2 linked regions of the Callithrix jacchus genome follow. The protein of the gene in region 1 interacts with the protein of each later gene in a pairwise test. Links are inferred from orthologs where the notes say so. Each region holds a gene or a part of one and is shown on either strand. Other genes may lie near its edges.

Region 1 (8,421 bases):
TGAGGTAGGAGAACTGCTTGAACCCAGGAGATGGAGGTTGCAATGAGCCAAGATCGCACCACAGCACTCCAGCCTGGGCGACAGAGCGAGACTCCGTCTCAGAAAAAAGAAAGAAAAGAAAATATCCTAAATTCAGGTCGTGGGGACCCCAGGAGGCTAAGGCTTCCTAGCCTCCAGGTACTAAGCTGCAGGAAATGGCAGTGATCTGGACTGTTGGAGGCAGAAGAGGGATTGGTTTTCTCAGGAATTAACAGGAATTTACAAGATGCATTAGCTGTTTTTCCAGTTGCTAGGGGACACATTGCTTTGAGTCTCATCAGCAGTGGCAAAAACAGCAATTTTAAAAAAAACCTACTGTAGCCTAGGATAAGCAGTTCGCTTACTGACCCAGCTCTGACCCAAAGACAATGCCAAGGCCTGCTCTGGCATTGTAAGGAGAGGGCTTCAGCCAAGGCCTGGAGGTGACCTGTTCTAGAGGTTTCACCTCAATCAGGCCACAGAACGAATAACTTCTCCTCCCCATATCAGATGAGATTGGCAGTGATATGAAGCTACTATGGAAATAGCCACCAATCAACCCCCACTGCTGGGATCCCAATTGCCACGACATCAGACATAAATTTGCTGTGCGACAGTGAGCCATCCTGCACCTGTCTGGACATTACCTCTATCACTTGTAAATTTCACTTCCTACTCTCCAAGGTCTCTTCAGGGGCCAAGAAAGTCTTTTGAAGGGGGCTAATCTCTCAGTGAACAAGAGATTGCTTGAGGGTGGGAGGATGGATTTAGTATCAAGCAGAAATATACATTCTTTTTGTTTTGTTTTGTTTTGTTGAGACGGAGTCTTGCTCTGTCACCCAGGCTAGAGTGCAATGGCACAATCTCCACTCACCGCAACCGCTGACTTCCTCGTTGAAGCGATTCTCCTGCCTCAGCCTCTCAAGTAGCTGGGATTACAGGCACCCACCACCACGCCTGGCTCATTTTTGTATTTTTAGCAGAGACGGAGTTTCATCATGTTGGCCAAGCTGGTCTTGAACTCCTGACCTCACGTGATCTGCCCGCCTTGGCCTCCCAAAGTGCTGGGATTACAAGCATGAGCCACTGCAATGGGCTGAAATATATCCTTTTCCTTTTTTTTTTTTTTTTTGAGACAGAGTTTCACTCTTGTTACCCAGGCTGGAGTGCAATGGCACGATCTCAGCTCACCACAACCTCCACCTCCTGGGTTCAGGCAATTCTCCTGCCTCAGCCTCCTGAGTAGCTGGGATTACAGGCACACACCACCGTGCCCAGCTGATTTTTTGTATTTTTAGTAGAGATGGGGTTTCACCATGTCGACTAGGATGGTCTCGATCTCTTGACCTCATGATCCACCTGCCTCGGCCTCCCAAAGTGCTGGGATTACAGGCTTGAGCCACCGCGCCCAGCCCTTTTTTTTTTTTTTTAAGACAGAGTCTGACTCTGTCACCCAGGCTGGAGTACAGTGGTATGATTTCGGCTCACTGCAACTCTGCCTCCCACGTTCAAGTGATTCTCATGCCTCAGCCTCTCCAGTAACTGGGACTACAGTGCATGCCACCATGGCCAGCTAAATTTTTTTATTTTTAGTAGAGATAAACTTTCACTATGTTGACCAGGCTGGTCTTGAACTCCTGACCTCAAGTGATTCACCCACCACAGCCTCCCAAAGTGCTGGGATTACAGGCATAGGCAACCTCGCCCAGCCAGAAATATATTCTTTGATGTAGATAAATCTTTTCTCAAATTGCTTGTTAAATATGAGTGAAAGCATCTCTTCTATTTTTATTGACCTACAATAAACTCTTGCAGATAAACTAATCTGCTTGGGCTGGAAGACAACGGCTTTTCCCATCCAGAATCCCTGTAGCTATCACCTCCATGGGTACTTGGCAAAGGCTGGTAGAGAACAACAAAGAACACAGCAAAATAGCAATTTATTTTTTTACCTCCAAGGTCACTGTAAACAGTGAGTCTGAGGCTTCCCCCTTCTTTTTGTTTGAGACAGACTTACTCTGTCATCCAGGCTGGAATGCAATGGTGCAATCTCAGCTCACTGCAACCTCTGTCCGCCTCCAAGTAGCTGAGATTACAGGCGTGTGTCACAACACCCAGCTAATTTTTGTATTTTTAGTAGAGATGGGGTTTCTCCATGTTGGCCAGGGTGGTCTTGAACTCCTGGCCTCAAATGATCCAGCCACTTCAGCCTCCCAGAGTGCTGGGATTACAGGCATGAGCCACCATGCCCGGCCAAAGCTTTCCCTTCTTTCTGGGGGAGAAAAAGATTAAGCATGGTTCAGCATATTCTTCAGTTCAAGTCTTGGGTCTCAGGCTGTGCCCAGCTTCCTGGAACAAAAGCGCGCACCCCCAGGGCAATCAGAGGCCTACTTTATCTGACTGCTAACTAGTAAAACTAAACCGACTATATTTTGCAAAATGCCACATGGATGTTTCATCTTTCAAGACAGACGTGGTGGCTTTTTTTTTTTTTGAAACAGGGTCTGTTGTCCAGGCTGGAGTGCAGTGGCCTGATTTTTGGGCTCACTGCAGCCTCAACCTCCTGGTCTAAAGCCATCCTCCCGCCTCAACCTTCCAAGTAGCTGAGAATACAGTAGTGGGACTATAGATTTAGACAGAGTTTGAGAGGGGAAACCACATCAGGACTATATATATATATATATATATATATATATTTTTTTTTTTTTTTTTTTAAAGAGATGGGGTTTCACTATGTTGGCCAGGCTGGTCTCCAACTCCTGACCTCATGATCTGCCCACCTCGGCCTCTCAAAATGCTGGGATTACAGGTGTGAGCCATTGCGCCTGGCCCAGAACTTTATTCTAGAATGAAAACTTAAATGACACATTAGAGATTATTGAATACAAACCTGCTCATTCTTGATACCGTGTCAAAAATGACAGGATTTACGGATTAAAAGCTTCAAAGGGGCCAGGCGCTGTGGCTCACACCTGTAATCCCGACACTTAGGGAGGCCAAGATGGGCGGATCACATGAGAGGTTGGGAGTTTGAGACCAGTGTGACCAACGTGAAGAAACCCAGTCTCTACTAAAAATACAAAATTAACCAGGTGTGGTGACACATGCCTGTAATCTCAGCTACTTGGGAGGCTGAGGCAGGAGAATTACTTGAACCTGGAAGGCAGAGGTTGCAGTGAGCCGAGATCATGCCATTGCACTCCAGCCTGGGCAATAAGAGCAAAATTCCATCTCAAAAAGAAAAAAAAGGCTTCAAAGGATTGTGGGTAAATTTCCAAAAATAATAATAAACGGAGCAGGCAGAGGTAGGAATATTCAACTTGTGAATAAAAACAAACGGCAAGGCGCACTGGCTCACTCCTGTACTCCCAGCACTTTGGGAGGGAGGCCAAGGTGGGTGGATCACCTGAGGTCAGGAGTTTGAGACCAGCCTGGCCAACACAGTGAAACCCCGTGTCAACTAAAAATATTTTTTAAAAAATTTTTTTAAATTAGCCAGATATGGTAGCAGGTACCTGTAATCCCAGCTACGTGGGAGGCTGAGGGAGGAGAATCGCTTGAACCCTGGAGGCAGAGGTTGCAGTTGGCCGAGATAGCGCTATTGCACACCAGCCTCAGCAATAAGAGCAAAACTGTCTTGAAAAGAAAACAAATTCTTTTCTTCTACGTATGTAAGGTACCTAGAGTAGTCAATTCATTGAGACAGAAAGTAGAATGGTGGTTGCCACAGGTGGAGGTGGAAAGGAATGGGGACTTAGTATTTAATGGCTACAGCTGCTTTGCAAGATGCAAAGAGTTCTAGAGATCGATGGTAGTGATGGTTGCACAACTGAACGTTCTTAATGCCACTGAACTATACACTTAGAAATAGTTAAGACGGTAAATGTTACGTGTATTTTGCCAGAATTTTTTAAATTGGAGGGGAAGGGAGAAACAAGAAATCGCTCGACCTGCTTGCTAATTTTCATTTGAGGGCCAAATGGCAAAGTGGCTTTGTCGTTCTGAGTTCCTCTGTCTGCTCTGCATTTACCAGCTGGGGCCTTTGAACAAGTCACTTGATATCTTTGAGATTTTATTCATCCTTACAAATGGGAGTAATAATAGTTCTTTACAAGGTAATAGAATCTCACTAGCACAAGAGTGAGCACTTGCTCAACTGTTATTTTAAATTTTAATAATAAATTTTATTATTTGATAATTACTTAAAAGCAGAAATAATTCAGGGATAAGTAGTTGAATTATCAATATCACATTATCACTTAGGGCGATACGCACATCAGAAGACTTCGTTTTAAGGGAAAAAGAGATCCAAGTTAGGAGTCAGAAGACTTGGGCTTTAAGAGTGGCTGGTAGTGGTATAAGATTTCTCCTTGGTGACACCCGGGGGTTGACGGAGATGACCTCTTAGATAACCAGAAAACAAGATCAGCTTCGCTGCTCTGCGAAATCCAGCCGTGGAGCTGCACCTCCCTCACCGCCTAAGCCTCTAGGGAACCTCCCGGGCGAGGGAAGGGGTCCAAAGGTCGGACACAAGAAGACTGATTGCAAAGCCCTTCCTACGCTGGTGGCGGCGGCGTGGTGCAAGATTTGTGCAAGACTCCTCTCCCTCGGTTTGGGAGCAAGGGTCCCGGACCTTCGTAGCTCCCATGACAAAGTCTGCAACTCAGCCCGCTCAGGGAGCTGCAAGGAACCTGCAAACGTCCCAGCCCCTGCAGAGACCCCCAAGAAAAAGCACCCCCAAAACAGCCTGGGTTGCAGATTTATAAATACCTCCTCCGCACATGCGCATTGGAATTTACGAGTGGCCCAGGGAGCAACGCTGGCCCACTGCGCCTGCGCCGTCCGGCTTTTCCTTTGGGGCTCAGGACCAGAAAGTGGAGTCCCATGGTCCGCAAAGAAGGAAAAAGAATGTGTCGGCAGTGGCCACGCGGTCCCCGTTTCTCGCGTCTTACCTCGTAGTGCTTCATGGCTCACTCCCACGGCGGCTACAGCTCCGCAGCTGCTGCTGCCTAACTGAGCGCGACACAACACAGGGTCCCTAGAACACTCGCTGCCGCTGCGAGAGACTAAACGCGGCTCTGCGTCCGCCCCGCCCCTCCCGGCCGCGCGCGCCCCTCCGGCCAATCAGGACACGAGGCGACCACCTTCGCCCCTGCCCCTTGGGGCAGGTCCGAACCAGGACCAGGGCTAGCACCAGGGGATTGACCAATCAGCTTGCGAGACCCACCGAAGGGGGCGGAGCGAGCGCAGGAGGGGCTAAAGAGAAGAGGCTTGGCCATCCACCAATCCAAAGGAGGCTTCTGCGCCGCGCGTCCCTTTGCCCCGACCCCTGATGGCGTCGCTGTGGAAACCAAGGTAAGCGACGGTTACGGCCAGGCGGGGGGCGGGGTAAAAAGTTGAGTGACAGGCAAAGCAGTGTCCACATGACAGGCGACGCAGACGGATTAACTTCCGAGGTGGGCGGCCCCCGGGATACACCAGGAAGGGACTGGGGTCGCGGGCTGAGGAGCCTGGATGGCAAGGCCACTCCGGGAGGAGACTCTTGAGTGGGAGGGAAGGAAAGGGAATGTGCGATGGCAAAAAGCTCCCCATTTGGGAACCCCCAACCTGCAACCTTGAGCCCCAGCCCCATTATGGGGATGGCTTCACTGCCGCTCTTAATGAAAGCCCCCGCCCCACTTTGGTTTGGTTTGGTTTGGTTTGGAAACAGAGGCTCATTCTGTCCCCCAGGCTGGAGTTCAATGGAGTTCAATTCGAGAATGACGATTCACCGCAACCTCCCCCTCCCAGGTTCAACCAATTCTCATGCCTTAGCCTCCCAAGTAGCTGGGATTACAGGTGCCTGCCACCACACCTAGCTAATTTTTGTATTTTTTTTAGCAAAGACAGGGTTTCGCCAGGCTGGTCTTGAACTCCTCACCTCAGGTGATGCTCATGCCTCAGCCTCCCAAAGTGCTGGGATTATAGGCGTGAGCCACCGCACCCAGCCTGCTCGGCCCTATATTTGTCTCTGCTTGACGTTGTCCAGAATGGTGTCTAGTGGTTCCATGGGGCCACTGAGTCCTTGAAATGGGGCTGGTCCAAACTGAGACGCCCTGTAAATGAAAAATACATCAGTTTCTGGCTGGGTTCGGTCTCCAACTCCTGGCCTCAAGTGACTGACCACTATGGCCTCCCAAAGCACTGGGATTACAGAAGTGAGCCATCGTGCTGGGGCGTCTTTTTATATTTTGAGTGTGCCCATTAGAACATTTAAAATCACAAACAGAGCTCACATTTGTGGCTGACAGTTGTGCAACGTTTTTCTGTTTTTTTTTGGACAGTCTTGCTTGTTCCGTCACCCAAGCTGGAAACCAGTGGCGCAATCATAGCTCACTGTGACCCTGGACACCACACTTGAGGAGATCCTAACACTTCTATGTTGCCTAAGCTGGCCTCAAACTACTGGACTCAAGCGATCCTCCTGCTTTTACCTCCCAAAGAGTTCAGATTACAGGGATGAGCCACCTTGCCCCGCCCCCATACACTATATTTTTTGAGACAGAGTTTGTAGCCCAGGCTGGAGTGCTATGGTGTGATCTCAGCTCACCGCAACTTCCGCCCCCTGGGTTCAAGCGATTCTCCTGCCTCAGCCTCCCAAGTAGCTGGGATTACAGGCATGCACCACCACCCCTGGCTAATTTTGTATTTTTAGTAGAGATGGGGTTTCTCCATGTTGGTTAGGCTGGTCTTGAACCTCCAACCTCGGGTAATGTGCCCGCCTCAGCCTCCCAAAGTGCTGGGATTACAGACGTGAGCCACTGCACTGGACCCTCTTACACTATTTTTATTGGACAGTACTGATCTGAGATCATGGCATGCTTTGGCACCCTTGATTGTTATGAGCAAGCTGGGGACACACACATGGGTATTCATGCCTGCAAACACTCAAGACCTCAGACAAGCTGGGTGCGGTGGCTCACGCCTATTATCCCAGCACTTTGCAAGGCTGAAGCAGGTGGACCACCTGCTTCAGGAGTTTGAGACCAGCCTGGCAAAGATGACGAAAACCCATCTCCACTTAAAATACAAACATTAACCTGGCATGGTGTTGGGTGCCTGTAATCCCAGCTACTCAGGAGGCTGAGGCAGGAGAACTGCTTGAACCTGGGAGGTGGAGGTTGCAGTGAGCCAAGATCATGCCACTGCACTCCAGCCTGGGTGACAGAGCAAGAATCTGTCTTGAAGAAAAAAAAAAAAAAAAAGATTTCAGACAGGCAAAAGAGCAGGCAGTACCTGGCACACTTCTTCACCTTTCTTTACTCCTGTTTCCAGGTCCTACTCCTGAGCCTTCATCAGCTGTTGGACCATCCGGAATTCACAGACCTGTCATCAGAGACATGATGAGAAGTCCTTAAAGATAGATCGCTGATTCACAAGGGAGCAGGTGGAGGCAAGGGTGAGTCAGTGCTTGGAACTCAGTCATCCAGATTCGGCTCTGGAAACTTCTGAACCTGTAGCCTTTGGGGATCCCTGACTCCGAATACAGGAAGCCAAGGCTACGTGGTCTTCAGGAAACTCCTTATCTTTTTCACTGGTGCTATCTGGGGAAAACAGGTGAAAACATGAAGGTGTTTTGTTTGTGTGCCTTCAAAAGCAAAACTCGGGGGCTCACACCTGTAATCCCAGCACTTTGGGAGGCCAAGGCAGGCAGATCACCTGAGGTCAGGAGTTCAAGACCAGCCTGACCAACATGGAGAAACCCTGTCTCTACTAAAAATAAAATACAAAAAATGAGCCAGGCATGGTGGCGAATGCCTGCAATCCCAGCTACTCAGGAGGCTGAGGCAGGAGAATTGCTTGAACCTGGGAGGCAGAGGTTTTGGTGAGCCAAGATGGCATCACTGCACTCCAGCCTGGGCAACAAGAGTGAAATTCCATCTCTGGAAAAAAAAAAAAAAAAGAAGAAGAAGAAGAAGCTGGCAGAAAGGCAGGATCCATCCTCCAAAGTAAAATTCCTCTTTGTTTTTGAGGGTGTAGCAGGCTCGAGGAACCCCTTGTTTACCAATCTGGTTTCCAGTACCCAGGCTCTCAGCAGAAATGAAATCCACCCTTAGAATAAAGACTGGACACTTTGTTCAAGCCACTGAGGACACTGTACCGTGGCCCCCTGACGGTGCCTGTCAGTAGAGACAGCTAGATCTTGCTGGTGTCCTCACAGCCCCAGCACAGTGGCTGATTCATAATGGTGACTGGTAGATCTGTTGGGTTCCTGCTGAACTGATTGTACCTTTATTAAAGTAATTTCCAAGGGAGAAACTGCAAGAGATGTCCTCGGCTGTGGCAGCTTCCAAGGATGATGTGGGCTTCCTGGGACCTCAGGTTTGAGGGAACCCAAGATCACTTTAATGTCAGAGATCTGAT
Region 2 (7,869 bases), on another chromosome or scaffold:
ACCTCGCCCAGCTAATGAGGAGTTCTTCTAGCAGACTCTGTTCCCTAAGTGGGTCTCATCTATTTACAGTGCAGTAATTGGGATAAGACTGTTAATGTGGCTGAATCCTGGAGTTTTGTTTGTTTGAACAGCCACCTCACACCCGGTTGGCTCCTGTGAGGCTTATGGTTCACCAAAAACTCCAGATCTCTTGATTTCATAAGGTAGGTCTTCTCCATTCTGATGTGGAGTCATTTTGTTGTTGCTAAGTCATGTAATTACATTTAGACTTTCTAAATTTATGTTACTGCTGTTGTTTTGGGGGGGCTTTAATTTATTTTTTATTACAGTAAAATACATATAACATTCACCATTTTGCCACTTTTATATAGTTCAGTTGCATAAACGCTTTCTTATTGTTGTGCAACCATCATCACTGTCCATCTCCGGAACTTTTTTAATCCTCCCAAACTGGAACTCCACACCAATGAAACAGTAATTCTCTATTTCCCATCTTCCCAGCTGCTGGCCACCTTCTATCTCTACTTTTTGTCTCTGCCTCACCCTAGGTACCACATATGAGTAGAATCACACAGTATTCATCTTTTTGTGACTGGCCTATTTTACTTAGCGTGATATCCTCAAGGTTCATCCATGTTGTAGCATGTGTAAGAATTTTCTTCTTTTTAAGGCTGAATCATACTCCACTGTATGTATATGATAATACTCTACTGTATGTATATGATAATACTCTACTGTATGTATATGATAATACTCTACTGTATGTATATGATAGTACTCCACTGTATGTATATAATACTCCACTGTATGTATATGATAATACTCCACTGTATGTATAGACCACATCTTGCTTATCCGTCTATCAGTACACACCTGGGTTTCTTTGCCTTTTGACTATTGTGAATAATGCTGCTATAAACATGAGTGTACGAATACCTGTTGGAGTCTCATTGATCTTACTGGCTTTAACTCATGTATTACATTTGCCCCTGTTTTCTGTTATTGGTTGTATAATTATCTGTAAATTAGATAAGGTCAATCTCTTTATCCATATCCCTTCTTGATAACAATGTTGCATTTCCTACTGATTGGAAAATATCATTTTGCACAAAATGGTCATTTCCTGCATCCCTAGTCTTTTTTAAAAGACTTACGCCATCATCTTTACAGCTGGACTCTGGGAACAGACTGCTTTCATATTTAGCCTGAGTCTGAGTTTTTCATAGTTCCTTCGGCTAAGATCTAACTTGGGGGTGGATGGGAGGTGAATAATAACCAACCTGTAGGCTGGGTCAAAGCAGGAGGTTTTGGGAGTTTGTTTGTTTCTTTGTTACCTATTTGGAGGCCACTGAGACTACACAGAAACTATCAGGCACCAAAAAGAAGGGAACTAAGTCTCAGAGTAACCTGATTAGGACGGAATTCATTTGCTCCGCAATTATTTATTGAGCTTTTACTTGTGAAAAGCACAAAGTGCTTTTGGAAAACAGAAGATGAATAAAACACATTCCCTGATTTCAAGATGTTTACAGTTCAAAATATTAAAGGAATTTCCTTTTGTAACCTAGAGCTCTTGAGGCAAGGCTTCTTCTACTCATAGCTGTACAAACATAACTCCTTAAGATAAGGAGGATTATAAAACACATCAAAAAGCAAAGTGTGCTTTTATATTAATATTACATTTCGGTGTAGATGGATTCAAGTAAGGATTGGGGGACAGAGTGAAAAATCTCACCATGAAAGCTTTGGAGGTGTTTCGCTTTTGCTTTACTTTGGCTAATATGAGAGCGCCAGGAAAACAGAAAGTACTCTTGCTCTTGACAGTATAAAATTCTTATTATTTTTAGAGAATAGTAACTGTGCATTTATGAAATTCTTTGTCAGAGCAATTTAGTTAATAGATATGTAAATGACTACTTATTTCATTGTGTAGGTGGATCGCTCCATGTACACTTTCTGAGGAAGAATATAAGTGCTAAAAACTATTAACATTGCAAATGGAAAGAAGCAAAAGTTACGGCGAGAATGCCATTCCCTTGCTGTATTAGGTATTAAGAGTGGGACAGAAAGTCCACCTTATCATCAAGATTTGTTTGGTTTATGGGGTGGGATTTCTTATTTACATCCGACTCTTGGACTCTTTTTTTAGATGCCTGGAAACTAATGTGAATTGAGGTGCAAGGGTATTTCTTGCTGATTTTCAAGCACAAAAGGTCATTACAAACCCAGCTGGGAAGGGATGGGGAAGGTGCTTAAAGTTAAAACCACAGCAGTACATTTTCAATGCAAGAGAATGCCTCCTAAAAAATCACCTAGGGCTCTTTTAAACATTTATTGTTTTTTCAGCATAAAAACAACTTCAGAGGAGGCTGGGGATTTCAAAGCTCTTTGGCTCTAACTGCCTCCTGGGAACAGCATGGAAGCTTCCCTAATCATGGAGGAGTTAATGCCGGCCTCCTTTGGGGGAAGAAGTCTCTAATGGGAGGAAATAAATGGGCTCTTACCTTGCAGGTGGTCCCCAGCCCTCCCCTCAGTGGAATTCCTCTTGCTCTGTGAGCTAGCCTCATCTTCATTTGTGCTTTTTGTTGTGGGTTTTGTTTTTTTTGAGACAGTCTCCCTCTCTCACCCAGGCTGGAGTGCAGTGGCACGAGCTCAGCTCCCTGCAACCTCCGCCTACCAGGTTCAAGCAATTCTCCTGCCTCAGCCTCTTGAATAACTGGGAATACAGGCATGCACCATCACGCCCAATAATTTTTTTTGTATTTTTAGTAGAAACAGGGTTTTACCATGTTGGCCAGGCTGGTCTCGAACTCCTGACTTCAGGTGATCTACCCACCTCAGCCTCCCAAAGTGCTGGGATTACAGGCACCTGGCCCACTTGTGCTTTAATCATTACATTCCCCTTCTCTAAAATTGCCTTGGGTTCACAGCTGTCATGCAAATCAAGTAAAATTCTTGGTAATGGATCCAAGTCTCTCCGCCACTTTGCCCTCCCACCCTCCTTACCTAACTGCTCTTGGCCCCACTGACATCAGTCCATGTTCTCCATATGAGGCTGGCAAACCTGCAAAACCCCCACCTCTTGTGTTTGTTCCTCCCGCCCTGCTGCTCTTGCTCCTGGTGACTGGTGACTCTTTGCACTTGGCCCTCATCTCTGGGCTGTACACAGCTGTCACCGTAGGCCCCAGCTCCTCTACACACATGCTCTATCTGCTGTACAGTAGCCCTGAAGATAGACACTAGCGGCTGTGCCGACTCACTCCCCAGCTCTGTGGGGCACTGCACACTGTGAGTTCGTCTTCATTAACGTCTGTGTGTTTGCTTTTTCTTTTGTTTTCCTCTTCCTTCAGGTACAGACTGAAGACAGTGTCCTCCTGTTTGTTATTGCCTGGACAATCACAGAAATCATCCGTTACTCCTTTTATACATTCAGTCTATTAAACCATCTGCCTTACCTCATCAAATGGGCCAGGTAAAAAAAACATAAGGAATGAGGGCTTACTTTTGAAATGATCTGTCAATGCATTTGCCCTTTATTGCGTAAATATTGCCTCCAAGTTTCTAAAAATAAAATTGACACAGAGGTTGGGTAGAAATCTTGTCTGTAGATTTCATCTGAGAGAGTCTGTACTTAACTTTGACTAACAGAAATACTGCTTTAAGATTTTTATATTTTGCTTACATTATTTTAATTGGGATCAGTTCTCTTCAATTATGCAGTATTTTCCTTTTTAAAAAAATTTCATCACCAAGTAACAATAAATAGAGATTTGCTGTAACATCCCTTTTTTGTCCATATCATCACATTTTACTGATGAGCTTCTGCCATTGTGATGGGTTTTTTTTGACCAAGTCCTGTTCTCCTAGTCTCAATTTTGCCACGAAGCTGTGACTCTTAAATTAATTTTTAAGTAATAAACATTACATGGCAGCTTTAGCTTCTCACTTTGATTTTGCTTTATTTTTACCAGTAATGATGAATTGGGTATAAGGCTAGTAGTTCATCTGGCTTACGTTAATAGTCCATGAGACAGTTGCAGGCAGTTTTCTGAGCTGGGAAACTCTTTGAGAGAGCGTGACAAAGCAAAAGGATCCAAGTTGTCCCCAGAGCTGAAATGCCTTATTTGGTGGAAGAAAAGCAATGGTTCCTAGACTGTTTATGAGTTCAGTGATTAAATTAGGGACATAATCTGATTGTTTCCAACATTTCGAGTATGGGAACTCCTTTATTATTTTTCTCATTTGCAGTGAACATTTTTATTAGGAAAGGGGAAGAATGGGAAACAGCAGTTACTAACCAACCTGGACAGCCACTGTGAAAGCTGTTTACCCCGGTTGTTAGGGAAGTCTGTTGACCAAGGCTTGATTTTACTGTTGGAGAAAGATTCTTTCGTCTACTGTTCTCCACGGCCTCTGAAAGATTTTTTTCCAACATCCTACTTAGTGTGGCTAAAATTGGCAGTGGGGAATATGTCTTCCCTTCCTCTTCAGAGATTTTCAATGCAATTCCTGTGCCCAGAAGTTTGTAGTCCATTGCACATTGTGAGTCACAAATAGCCAAAGGCTTTTTAAAGTCTAAGCTGATGATTCCTTTAGCAATCCTTACAGCGGCTTACAGTTCCATGGGTCAGTGACTGCTCTCTGAATTCTTTGTGGAATATGGAGAACTCCTTTTTAAAGAGAAAAAAATTAATGCAGAATTCCTCCCACGTGATGATAATTGTAATTGTGAGGTGTTTTGATTGGAAAATTACATAGTAACCAAAAGCTATTATGAATTTAAAATTTTTTAAATTGCATATATTTGATTTTTTTACAGTATCATATACAGACATTTGAAAAATAGTATACAGATGTTTGTGCTGTTTTTTTTTTTTTTTTTTTTCTTTTTTTTGGTTTAGTCTTTTTGTGTGTTGTGGGAATTCCTAGACCACATGTTCCAGCACCTCTGCCCCAACCCCATCCCAAGGCCCACAGGGTAGGACCCTTCAGTATAAACTATGACTCAGTTCCCCTCCTTCACCAGCACTTGGCATCACTTTCGTTATTTTAGAGCGTTCTTTTGAAGAGTTGCTTATTTAGTCAGACCAAATTTTGAGGCTGCCTGAACACATTTATTTTGTCGTAGAACATTTGGAAACATATACCTGCTGTAGGCTCATTTCAAAAACTGGCTTGTAAAACCTGAATTTGAATAGCAGGTAAACAGGAAAATACATAAGCAAACATTTTCTCAAAGACTAGTACTGATCAGAAGAGTGGGAAGTGCAGCTTCCTCCTAGAGCTGGCTTTGAGCCTCAGTAATGAATATTGTGTTTTGTTTTAGGTACACACTTTTCATTGTGCTGTACCCAATGGGAGTGTCAGGAGAACTGCTCACAATATACGCAGCTCTGCCCTTTGTCAGACAGGCTGGCCTGTATTCCATCAGTTTACCGAACAAATACAATTTCTCTTTTGACTACTATGCATTCCTGATTCTAATAATGATCTCCTACATTCCAAGTAAGTGAACAGTTATGCATATATTTAATTATGTTTTAAAGTTTGGCTCTACAATAACTAGAGTTAATATCTTTGATTGTTTTTGCACCATATCCAAATAAATGTAAATCTAATTTATTAGGAATGCTTGGTTTTTGTTGAATGCTATCAAAGGGAATTTTTTCCATTAGTAATTGAATAAAGACTAACCCTTCTCAATACAGTTGCCAAAATGCAGCCCTTCTCAGCATGTGGGTTTGAAGCTGTGAATGCCAGGCTCCGTTAAGCATATATTGGAGAAAGTACTGAATGGAAAACAACAAAGTCATTAAAGGCCTGACTGTGGATTGTAGTTTTCTGTCTGTTCAGAACTGCTTGTTACGGTATTTGAAAAACATGGTGAAAAGACTTTTGTGTTGGTTCCTATATCAAAATAGACATTTAGCTTCATTTTGAAGGGATTGGTAGTTAACTAGAAACGTAACAAAATAATTATAGATTTATTTTTTCCAAATTTTTCATTTTCTTGTTGGGCACTGATTGGGACACAGTGTTCTCTTCAAGATGGTTTCCAATTATTTTAATAGTACCGCTGAAGACTTAAGTATATGGATAATCAAGTGTGCCTCTCTGTGTATTCGGTGGCAGAGAAAAAGACATGTTTGTTGTCTCTGTGAAGTGAGCCCTACTTTCTGAGGATGAGGAGTTTCGTCCTTTTGTGGAACCCTGATGTTCAATTATAAATCCTGATTGACATCTACATGCCAAAAGATCTTGTTATAACCAAGGACATATAATGTTAGTGTTTCTTCTCATTTAGCTATTTCTGTAACCATTGTAACTCTGAATATTATTTTAATTTAGAAGAGATGCTATGTTCTTCCCTAAACCCAAGTTAAATTCAGACAAAGTTGGATTTTTCTTCATTCCATGGCATTATTGGAATGAATCATCCTAGCAAAGCGACATGTTTGTGTCGCTCTGTGGAAAATTGCATTTCATGCATTGTGAGAAAAAAACAACAACCAGATTTCATGTGAGCATTTATCTTGGAGAAATTCTTGGATACAGTTCTGCTTCATGATTCATTTTCCACTCTTTATTAACGATCAAGTCCTGCTCTCTAGTGCCCGAATCATAGTGGCCAGAGGCCATCTCTCTTCAAATGTAAAAAGTAGTTGGTTTTCAAACAAGATAAACGTGAAATCATCTAAACATTTAAGTAGTAAAAATTAACTAACAGTGTTCCACCTTTCTAATTTTGTTTTTTTAGTTTCATTTTGGAGTCTCTAGAGCAGCAGTTCACAGTTGCAGTTTTACCACACCCAGAGTAACTAACACTTATTATCCCAGTTGGCACCACAGGCTTTATTTGAGTGAATAGGAGATACATACCATACTGGATGACTAGGAAAGGGGCAGGGAGGGTATTATGAAATCATATCCATAACAAGCTGCTTCCACATTGACAAAAATCCAGCGATCCCGACCTGAGAGTTCCTGCAAGACTTCCAACATCTCTAGGAAGCACGGCTTCCTTCCAGGAACTGCTCCCCAGGGCTGCCTCCATCTGTCTGTCTCTTCGTGCTCTAGTGGCCAACCAGTGCCGAGCTGTGCCTCTTCCTGCTGAGCTCTTGGTATAGTGACTACCTAGGCGCCACATGCAGCCTCTGGTGATGATAGCGCTCCTGAAGGAAACCCAGTTCTATGAGCTTTTCATCTTGGTCTTGGAAGAGACAGAGGAAAGAGAAAACACTGACCCCAGAGCCAGCTGTCTTTAGAGCAGCAGTCCCCAACCTTTGGCACCAGGGATCGGTTTCATGGAAGACAGGTTTTCCTTGGGTGGTGATGGATGGTTTCAGGATGAAACTGTTCCACCTTAGATCATCAGGCGTTAGATTCTCATAAGGAACACACAACTTAGATCCCTTGAATGTGCAGTTTTCAACAAGGTTCTCACTGTTGAAGAATGTAAAACCACTGCTGGTCTGATAGGAGGCAGAGCTCTGGCCATAATGCTTGTTTACCCCACCACTCACCTCCTGTTGTGCAGCCTGGTTCCGGCAGGTGGGGATTGGGTACGCTTGTTTTAGAGAGCAGGGCAAGACTCTCCTTCCCACAGAAGTCTGCTTTCTTTACCTCAAGTAATTCTCTCTTGCAGCTTCCTTTCGGTAAGAGAACTTGGCTCAGTTAAAGTCTAACATAATTTCTTTTTCTAAGGCAGCTTACCTCTTGTAGACCAGGGAAGAGGGTGGATCTCAATGACTAAAAGATTTCCTGCAAACCTCTGACTCCCCACCCAGGTTCAAGATGGTACACATACCGCCTCTCCTGATGCGAGTCACCCTTGTGTCTGCCGGCCTCACTGTGCTCTGGCCTGAGCCC

What was found.
Region 2: the proteins of TECR (region 1) and HACD2 interact in binary tests that used the Homo sapiens proteins (3 or more experiments, as listed by UniProt). The link is inferred for Callithrix jacchus from reciprocal best matches to the Homo sapiens genes TECR and HACD2.

What each region holds. Positions count from the first base shown.
Region 1 is NC_133523.1:13,303,271-13,311,691, reverse strand, and holds the start of TECR (very-long-chain enoyl-CoA reductase), read right to left. Parts: upstream 5,091-8,421; 5' UTR 4,986-5,090; coding exon 4,971-4,985; exon of another isoform or gene 4,282-4,970; intron 1-4,281. UniProt on the Homo sapiens protein: Involved in both the production of very long-chain fatty acids for sphingolipid synthesis and the degradation of the sphingosine moiety in sphingolipids through the sphingosine 1-phosphate metabolic pathway.
Region 2 is NC_133516.1:79,563,140-79,571,008, forward strand, and holds part of HACD2 (very-long-chain (3R)-3-hydroxyacyl-CoA dehydratase 2), read left to right. Parts: intron 1-3,350; coding exon 3,351-3,472; intron 3,473-5,326; coding exon 5,327-5,505; intron 5,506-7,869. UniProt on the Homo sapiens protein: Catalyzes the third of the very long-chain fatty acids (VLCFA) elongation four-step cycle (condensation, reduction, dehydration, and reduction).